2 linked regions of the Daphnia pulex genome follow. The protein of the gene in region 2 interacts with the protein of the main gene of each other region in a pairwise test. Links are inferred from orthologs where the notes say so. Each region holds a gene or a part of one and is shown on either strand. Other genes may lie near its edges. The genes, in order: glycogen synthase kinase-3 beta-like and axin-like.

Region 1 (4,569 bases), on a different chromosome or scaffold from region 2:
GTATGGTGAACACGCTAGTCTTCATGCACCAGGCATTCGCTCATTTGACTGTGTGTGTGTGTCGGCAGAGAGGGAGGGCTAGCAGCCAACGCACACAACACAAGCGATCGATAGTTATTTTTTTGTGTGTGTTTCCTATCCTACTCGTGTCAGCAGGGGAGGCTCGGAGGGGGGTTTAACAGGAGGGGCGTTAAGGCGAAAGAGACAGGATTCTACTTACGCGAAACTTAACCACAGGTTTAGCTTCAGCCCGACTCACAGTAATTTTCTCGAGCATCGACTGTCGATATAAAAGGGGAGAAAAAATATAAAAACAAAAAAAAACAAAAACAAAAAGAAAAAAAAAAGATTGTCGTCAGCAACATTTTGATTTAACGTCGAATTTAAAGGTCAGACCCCATACAGAAAAAGAGGGTCTTCATTGCCACGTGCAAGGAAAAATGAAATCGTACAAAAAAAAGGAGGAAGCTCCGTGAACAGGTGAACACAGGGAATTACCATCAGTATTGAGTAACAAAAAAAAAATCCACATCGTGGAAACCTGTCAAATCCCCCTGGAAGAGAATAAAAAAACACAACACAAAAACTCCGAAAGTATAGAAAAGAAGAAAAGGATGAAGAAAATGGCCGATAATTGCTCGATGTCAATATGAACAAAATCAATGGTGTGTGGTATGTGCAAAGTTTCACTAGCCTGCGCATAAGCCAAACAACAAACCCTTTAATGTAATGTTGCGACTATCATTGCAAAGAAAACGCTGCCCTACTACTTGCTTGTACGTACATAAAACCGAGGGATCGATGCCATCATCATCGATCTGTCAAAACAAAAGAAAAAAATTGTTGGCTAGATTCTTTTTGCCCCTCCAGTTTCTACTGGCAAACTGGCAGAGACTCATTAGGAAGGAAACAAATACGAGGCAAAATATTCGAGGAGGACAAGGACCTTTCCTAACTTCCACCAACTTCCTCAAAAGCAACACGATATGTAAGTATAGCATAACTGGAAGAGAGCTTTTCTTCAAAGGTATTTCAACGTAACCCATTCCAGTTAAGATTGCGAAATGTGAACAACTTTCGAGAAACGGTGCGAAAGGAGAAACACACTTAAAGAAAATCGCAAGCAAAAGACATAGAGAAAAAGAAATGCCAAGATATGTAGATTAATTAAGGTAGTTAAAAATAAATTTACCTTCTGCCATGGGTGTGCTTTGATCTGAGGAAACTTGAACTCGGTGTAGTTTGGATTCATTTCACGGATCTGTTCTCGGGTGGGTGTGCCCAAGACTTTGATAATCTCCACCAACTGGTCGACCCCAGAGTCGCCCGGGAAGATTGGCTGGCCCAAAAGCAACTCAGCCAAAACGCACCCAGCGCTCCAAACATCTGATCAACACAACAATGCCGACATGTTAAAAGCAGTTCATTGAGTGAAGATCGAAAGTTATTTTTATTTTATTTGTTACCTATATTCGTGGTGTAGTCGGTGGCTCCGAAAATGAGTTCGGGTGCCCGATAATAACGTGAGCAAATGTAAGAGACATTGGGCTCACCCTGGACCAAATGCTTAGCACTTCCGAAATCGCAGAGCTTCAGTACACCAGACTCGGGATCGAGCAACAGATTCTGTGGCTTGATGTCCCGGTGACAGATTCCCAACGAATGAATGTAAGCCAGACTCCGAAAGAGTTGATACATGTATAGTTTGATAAAACTTATAGGAATAGTCTGTTTGGATTTGCTATAGTGACGTGCTACTTTGTAAACGGTCTCGGGTATAAACTCCAAAACCAAATTGAGAAACACCTCATCTTTCTGAAGTATCAAAACAAGAGAGAGTAGATCATATTGTTAGACACTGGTAAAAAGAACAATAGCTTTAATCATCACAAAAACTTGCCTTTTCTCCGCTGGAATAGAAAAAGTATTTCAACTTGACGATGTTGCAGTGTTCCAGGCGCCGCATAATCTGCAGCTCGCGATTCTTGAAAGAACAAAGAAGACAAAGTCATCAGTTATGAACACAGGTACAAGTCATAGTCATAATCTGTAATTTACTTTGAACCGCTTATCTTGAAGAACTTTTTTGATGGCCACAAGTTCACCGGTCTCACATAGTTTGGCTTGGTAGACAACACCAAAACTGCCATTTCCTATTACTTTAGCATCTGTGTAAGCCACTTCTTGAGCTCTATCAGGTCCCTGTCCAGGGGTTGCCACCACTGTGGTGACCTTGCTCCCATCTTTACCTAAAAGATTGCATTGGAGAAGAAAGTGAAAATGATGACAGGTGAGTACAAATTATGGAAGACAATGGACGAGTGAAACTGCTCATACCAAATGAAGGATTTAAAGATGTCTTGTCAGCAAATGAGGTGGTGCGCGGCCGTCCGCTCATTTTTAAAATTGTAATGATAATTTGACTCACGCCAAGAACATAGCTGTAAACTACAGTCTGCACACAGTGCACACAGAAGACACACCTGACACAGTCGAAGACACTTGACACTCGACACAACCTCAAGATTCAGAAATCTCTTTTAAGAATTTTGTATATTGTTTCAATATATAAGAGATGAGTGTAGACTCTTGTTGATGGGAGGGTAGAAAAAGGACGGGTGTAAGTGGAAAAACGTTCTTGTGACTAGTTTTTCACACTGTAATCCCGTCAGTGATTCTGATGGCTAACGCCATTTGGGCCTGTACGTTCTTTCGATAGGGAGGTGAGCGAGAAAAAAGAATCAAAATTTTCAACAACTGCCTAACCAATAGAAGGAGATTAGAAGTCACTCTACGCAGTCCGCTGTATGAAGTTCACAACAGTTTTTTTGCGGGCAGCGGGAAAAAATGGTTGGCAATGGCTAGTAAAACTAGCTCGGGCTGAGGACATCGGAGAACGACGCCATTTAAGATTTTCCAACTTTTGCAATATGGCGGAACTTACGACTTTTGCTACCAGGTGGCGGGCCGTTCGACTTAAATGGCAACGTTGCCTCTCTGTTGTTGTTTCTCACGTAATCCATGTTGTATCTAACATCCGATAGATGTGGTTGCAAGCACGCGCCCTTTTTAAATCTTTCAACAATTAAATTCTGATTAACTTGTATTGTAAAATTGATGTGCTTGTAAAATCTAAAAATTTCATTATTACTTATTAAACTTATTTATAAAGATAACCCATGGAGTTTATACGTGAATCGTTTGCCAATTCATTTTCGTAAAAACTGAAAACAAGTATGAATCATGAATTTCAAGATGCTTATCACGAATTCTTCGTGCAAATGCGCAGTATATTGTACTTTCTTAACTGAGTGTGGGAATCCATTTGGCATTGAGAAGGAAAACGTAACGAAAAAAAAAAACGAGGATTGTTACTAACAGGATCAGGATATACCATGCACTACAGAAAATTGGTAACTTTTTCATTTTTCTGTGACTCCGAGGTTCTTGTACCTGAAAGAACCGGAAATAATTAGATGAAATGTTAGATTTCACATTTGTTGTCCACCGTGACCTTTGGGCTTTGGAGTTTGGACCACCGTTTGGATTTTACGTATATTTAGTCACGTAATGGAAATTACTACAACCAATATTATGACTAATATTAATCCGTTTTGATAAATCATGAATATTACTTATTGATTGATTCCTTTATGGCATAATGCAACGTTTAAACACTTTTTGGACCAATCGGCATCGATTTTGTTACACAGGTTACACCCAATTTCGGGGGCATTTTTTTAAAAAGGTCTTTTTTGTCTGCTAAGCAGTTGTCAAATTCGCCTGTTGTCTTTCAGAAGACGAGGCGATTTTTTAAGAGCTTTAAAAAAGGAAATGAATTTACTAGACATAATGAGTGTGGAGTGAGAAAGCATCAATAAACATCAATGAATCTTAAAATATGTCGAATGTAAGAGATCTATTTTAGAAATAAAGTCTTACTTCCTAGTGGCTACAAACCTACATAATTGTTTTGCTTTCTAGAATCTATTTAACACTGTGAGCCAAAAAAGGATAGCTTTATTTGCAACTTTGTTGTGTATATTGATCTTGACATTTTTCGTTTTTAACACACCCATATTCCATTCCCATGATTTAAGCGAATATGAAACAATTAAGGTAAGCCATTAGATTACGAACATGGTTCTCCTACATTTAAAAAAAACTGACTAACAAATTTTACCAGAAAAATTGTTCAGGAAAACAACTTGTGCTTTTCTGGACTAAGTTTTTTGAAACAGATGATTTCTATGTTGGATTAGGAATTAAGCCCTTTAAACAGTGCACAGTGTTTGCCTGTTGTTCAACAAATAACCGAAATTTCCTTGATGTAAGTGATGCCATAATTTTCCATATACGGTAAGGAATAATGAATTAGTTTTATTCCAAATCATTCAACTATTAAATATCAAACAAACATAAATCAAAATTAAGAGACTTGGACTTGAATGATATGCCCCCTCGTCGTTCCGTTCGCCAACGATGGATTTTTTATCTTCAGGAATCTCCCTTACACACTCCAAATATTTTGTATGATCTCAGTAATGTTTTCAATTGGACAATGACTTT
Region 2 (4,561 bases):
GCCGATCCTTCAGCCGGTTCGTAGCGGCGAGCCAAGTCGTTCTCGTCCATCGACTGGCCATGTCTGCGAGGCGTCAGGACGGGTGATGAACCTTTGGAGGGCGACAGCGTCGAAGGATGCGACGGGCCCCGCCTTCCGAACCGTGAAGCCCATGGATCCATCTTCACCTGACTTGACGGCACATTTTCTTCACCTGAATTAAAAACGCAACAACATTAGAATGAATGTAATAAGCACACACAAAGGCGACCAGTTGGATCATACCTGGGAAGACAGGGGGTCGAGGAGCAGATTCCGAAAAACGAATCACAGATCCACCTCCATTCATCACTTAACACTGTACAAGTTCGTTGTAGTCAACGGACGATAAATAAAACAGGAGCAGCATCACCTGGACACGAAAGAGATGCAACGAAATGGTTAGCACACATTTTAACATGGCCAGAAACTCGAATCACAACTTGATGTCACTGGTTAGAGCAAAAACATCAACATTGGACTCTTCTACTGAACCGAAGTTGGCAATTTCACAAAATAAACTAAACTCTGCTGCCACAGCAACTGTGTGTAGAGAATCCATCCAGAGAAATTCGTTCCCAGATCCCATATCCGGCTTTGGAAGACCCACTCTTCCGCCCACCAGCCCCCCCCTCCTCTTCTAGCCCCCCTCCTCACCATCAGAAAGCAAAAAAAGAAATAACTGCAAGTTTTTGGTGGGTAAGCATTGATTGGAATCGTTGGAGCGCGAAATATAATCTGACAACGTAACAATGAGTAGGGAGATTTTTCATTTTTTGGTGAGTGCAAGATAACAATAGGAAAAAATGGACTACAATAGAGATGGAAAAAACGGAGGTTGCTTACCAGGCAGCATCTAGTTCCAGACTGGTGAAATAAGAGGGGTGAAGCGAAGGAGGAGTTGGTTTCTTCTATGAGGCACGCTATGAATAAGGCACACTGCGACGAATCACTACTGCATCAACATAATTGGACGGTCTGTGGGGGTTGCAACTATTGGGTCGATCTCTTCAGTCCTTAATGAGGCCCGATATCTTCACATGAGTGGTCCAATTGTTGTCACGGGTTCTGGATGAAATCCTGTAATACAAGAGTACAAGAGTTATCGACCAGTTTGTTAACCATAAGCAGAAGCTATTGTGTTTTCCACTACTCAAATGTTCACAATATTTGACAGCTGGAAAAAACTGGATGAGAGCCCCTGGATTACAAATGAGAAGGGAGAGAAGAGTGAAATTGCTCTCCGAGTTCTCCCCACTCACTACAAAAGCTCTCACCAGGTCGATCAATACAGACTCTGCTCACAATCCTGACAAAAGAGTGATGCCTCCCCGTAGTCAAGACTTGCATTTCATTTTCCATCACATTCAATAAGTCTGAGTGGTAAATGGAGTTGCCTAGATTGCAAATAATCACTGGGCACGCGAGTCTAGGTAAACCCATCGCTTGCCCATTGTCACTTTTTCAGATGTGTATGCAGTAGGGGCATAACCTAGGGGCATCACTCTGTCAGATTTCTGTTTCTCCTCTTAATTTACCTTTTCCATCGAATTTTCACTCGAATTTTTTCAGATTAATTTCGGCCGTCGTGTCAACAACGGGCCACAACTCAGGGAAAGAAACAGAAAACACAAAAAAATGAAATAAATGAAACTCGAAAAAAAGACGGACGGCTTCTGCTCAACTCCAAACAACTCAGTTCCCATTCCCCCTATATCGTATCGAGAAACGTACACCCGATGTCTATATATCGATAGTTGGCTAGAAATCGATTCGCCAAGACATTCTTCTTCCTCACAAGTTCCTTTATTCTTTCTTTCTTTTTCTTCAGCTTTTCGCCATGACTTTGCAGGTGCCGACATTCTTTCACAAAAATCGCCTAATGATCTTTACTTTTTTTTACATTGGCAATAATCTTATGCATACATCTCGAGTGTTGCCTGCATAATGCTTCCATGAAAGGGCATCAAAGTGTACCGAACAAATAACACCCAAAAAAGAAGAAAAGGGGGGAAGCCTTGGAGCGGGTTCATGTAACTCAAATTCCTTCCTTCTGTGGAAATGTCGCCTCTGCTGTATTTATATATATATTTTCTAAAAAGCGATTGAGTTGTATATATAATATCACGTCAAAGTTAAAAGCTAGATCAATCCAGCCAGGTCGATCTACGCCTCCTGGCGTTTTGCCCTCACCTGGATTCGTTGTGTGCCATCAAGACATCATGTCGGTCTTGTACCTACTCTGATGATTGCCCTTAATGGTGGTTACATACATTTTCATAGGACTAGAGAGGGTATTCTTCTTCGGCGGTAGCCACCACACACTCAAGGTCTTCACGTCGGGCCAAGAAGAAAAAACAAGCCGCGCGATAATCAAGACTATGTGTTAAAAAAAGGAAGGCGGCGGTGGCGGCGGCGGCGGCCTTTCTTCTATTGACCCGCGGCTCTTTTTTGAGTATATTTCAAGTTAAAAAATAGAAAAATAAAAAAAAAGGCTTTTAACCAGCAGCATGCTGGCTTGCGGGGTTCGAGATGTTGATGTCATCTATCTCTTTCTTCAAAATGCTGGAGAGAATGTGTTGTCCGGGGAAAAAAAAACGAAATTCCATTGCCGACGACGTGTCAAGGTAAAGTGACTCTTGGTCGATTACGCGACCAGCAGCAGATGGATTCAAGCCAACAAAATGCCGCAGCATCGTAAATATAGATCAGCTCTTTTTCTTATTATTATTAGGATAGGATGGTGGGAATTGTTGTCTGCTGCCGCGCGGCGAAATTATCAAACGGCGGCGGCCGCCCAAAAGGAGGAGGAGGAGGCCACTTCCGCCGACAGCCAAGTTGATGGATGTCCCGGATCAATTTGCATCCGACTCAATTGCATCTTATATAGTATATTATAATAAAAGATGGATGTTCTCAAAATATATCTACCTACCTGGAATCAAATCGAAGCTGCTGCTGCTGAAGTCGGCAAATTAGTTCCACCGTTGGACCAAAAGATGATGGATGAACAACAACAACAACAATTGCACTTCACCGCGGACACGTCTAAACACCTCGCCGACCAACTCCTTTCTTATACCCCCACCAGATATCTGTGTCATTCGGGTAGGAAAAAAAATAAAGATGGATCTGATATTTATACCGCGAGTTAAAGGTCTTGCCACATTTTGAGGCTTTTATCTGCGCTCAAAATTTTAAAAAGTGGCGGCGGCGGCGGTTTGGTCTATTGGTCGCACTCATTTGTCTCGCACGATGATGATGATCACTCAGCGGACCCTGGGCAGTCTAACTGTGCAGCAGCAGCTTCATTGGGAATTATCTCTCCTACACACATACACACACACACATACAGACACGGGGAAATCAGATTACACACTGGCGCGCGAGCGCGGCGGTTTCTTTTTTAACTTTTGGGGTAAAGAGGAAAGAGAAAAAGAGCCGCGCTACTCCAAGATAAGAAAATCTTAAATGAAAGAAAAGAACGCGACATCTTGGCGGCGCTAGTCATTAATACTGATGCGCCATGGATATATAGTGCATCCGTTGTATACAAACAACGAGTATTATTATTATTATTATTATTATTATTTGGAATTTATTATTTTATAAGAAAAAGAGGGGGTCTTTTATGTTCATTAATGCGCTAGCAACGCCAGATTTTATCATCGACTTTCATTAGGGAAAAAATAAAGAATTTGAGTCATCGAGATTACTGGCGATAAAAGATGGATTGATTCGCGTTTAATTCCGGCCTATAAATGTCGTCCATGTCTTGATATATGAGTCACACACAAGAATAAATCTACGCAATCTTAAGAGCTCAAGAGAGAATTGATTTCATTTTGATTGACACTCTCTCCAGATTAAGTTTCGAATGGTTTAAATGACGAGAGAGGATATAGTATTATTTACTTCTTCTTCAAACACCGTAATATAACGGTAGATGTGTACATCAAGTCATCAAATCCTGCCCCGTAAAACTGCCAAGTCACATTGAAATGAAGATTTTTCCCTTTTGAAAAACAATTTTTTTGTTTATCCCTTTCTTTTTTCAAACAGATTCCAAATCTTTTAATCGCCTGTAGCTTCGTGTGGGTTCAAGAGTGAAACACTTTTACGATATCTGCCGCCTTTTATAATAAATCATCGACACTTTGAAATCTTCACTAAAGCCTTTGGCCATGAAGTACGTACACAAGGATAACTAGGAGGACGTCTAGCGGTCCAACTTTGGACTCGGTTTTGAAAACCTTTGCTTACGTCACACGATATGGAAAAATTATAATAAATAAAAAAAAAACGCTTAGATCGGCTGAATCGACACACATTGATCGGAAAACATATGTTGCGAAATAATACGGACTTTGCTATTTGTCCCCCGCGCAAGACCTTTGAATTATTGACCAGTTCCGGATCAATAACTATTGCGGATGAGTAGTATATTATGAATGAATTTTGAGCAATGAGTTTTCGGGCTTTCTCCTGATGGGTGCACGCAGGTGCAGCCAAATCTCATTATCAGTTTGAATAGATTATATGA

Evidence for each region.
Region 1: the proteins of axin-like (region 2) and glycogen synthase kinase-3 beta-like interact in a two-hybrid assay, tested with the Drosophila melanogaster proteins (2 studies listed by BioGRID, with this or other methods). The link is inferred for Daphnia pulex from reciprocal best matches to the Drosophila melanogaster genes Axn and sgg.

The regions. Positions count from the first base shown.
Region 1 is NC_060024.1:9,782,220-9,786,788, reverse strand, and holds the start of glycogen synthase kinase-3 beta-like, read right to left. Parts: upstream 2,981-4,569; 5' UTR 2,399-2,980; coding exon 2,338-2,398; intron 2,250-2,337; coding exon 2,059-2,249; intron 1,985-2,058; coding exon 1,901-1,984; intron 1,816-1,900; coding exon 1,467-1,815; intron 1,387-1,466; coding exon 1,193-1,386; intron 1-1,192. Other genes in the region: alpha-(1,3)-fucosyltransferase C-like, read left to right, coding at 3,902-3,910, 3,985-4,119, 4,187-4,359, 4,435-4,569.
Region 2 is NC_060025.1:2,838,807-2,843,367, reverse strand, and holds the start of axin-like, read right to left. Parts: upstream 3,105-4,561; 5' UTR 2,954-3,104; intron 1,779-2,953; exon of another isoform or gene 1,557-1,778; intron 1,519-1,556; exon of another isoform or gene 1,296-1,518; intron 1,099-1,295; 5' UTR 865-1,098; intron 392-864; 5' UTR 329-391; coding exon 265-328; intron 194-264; coding exon 1-193.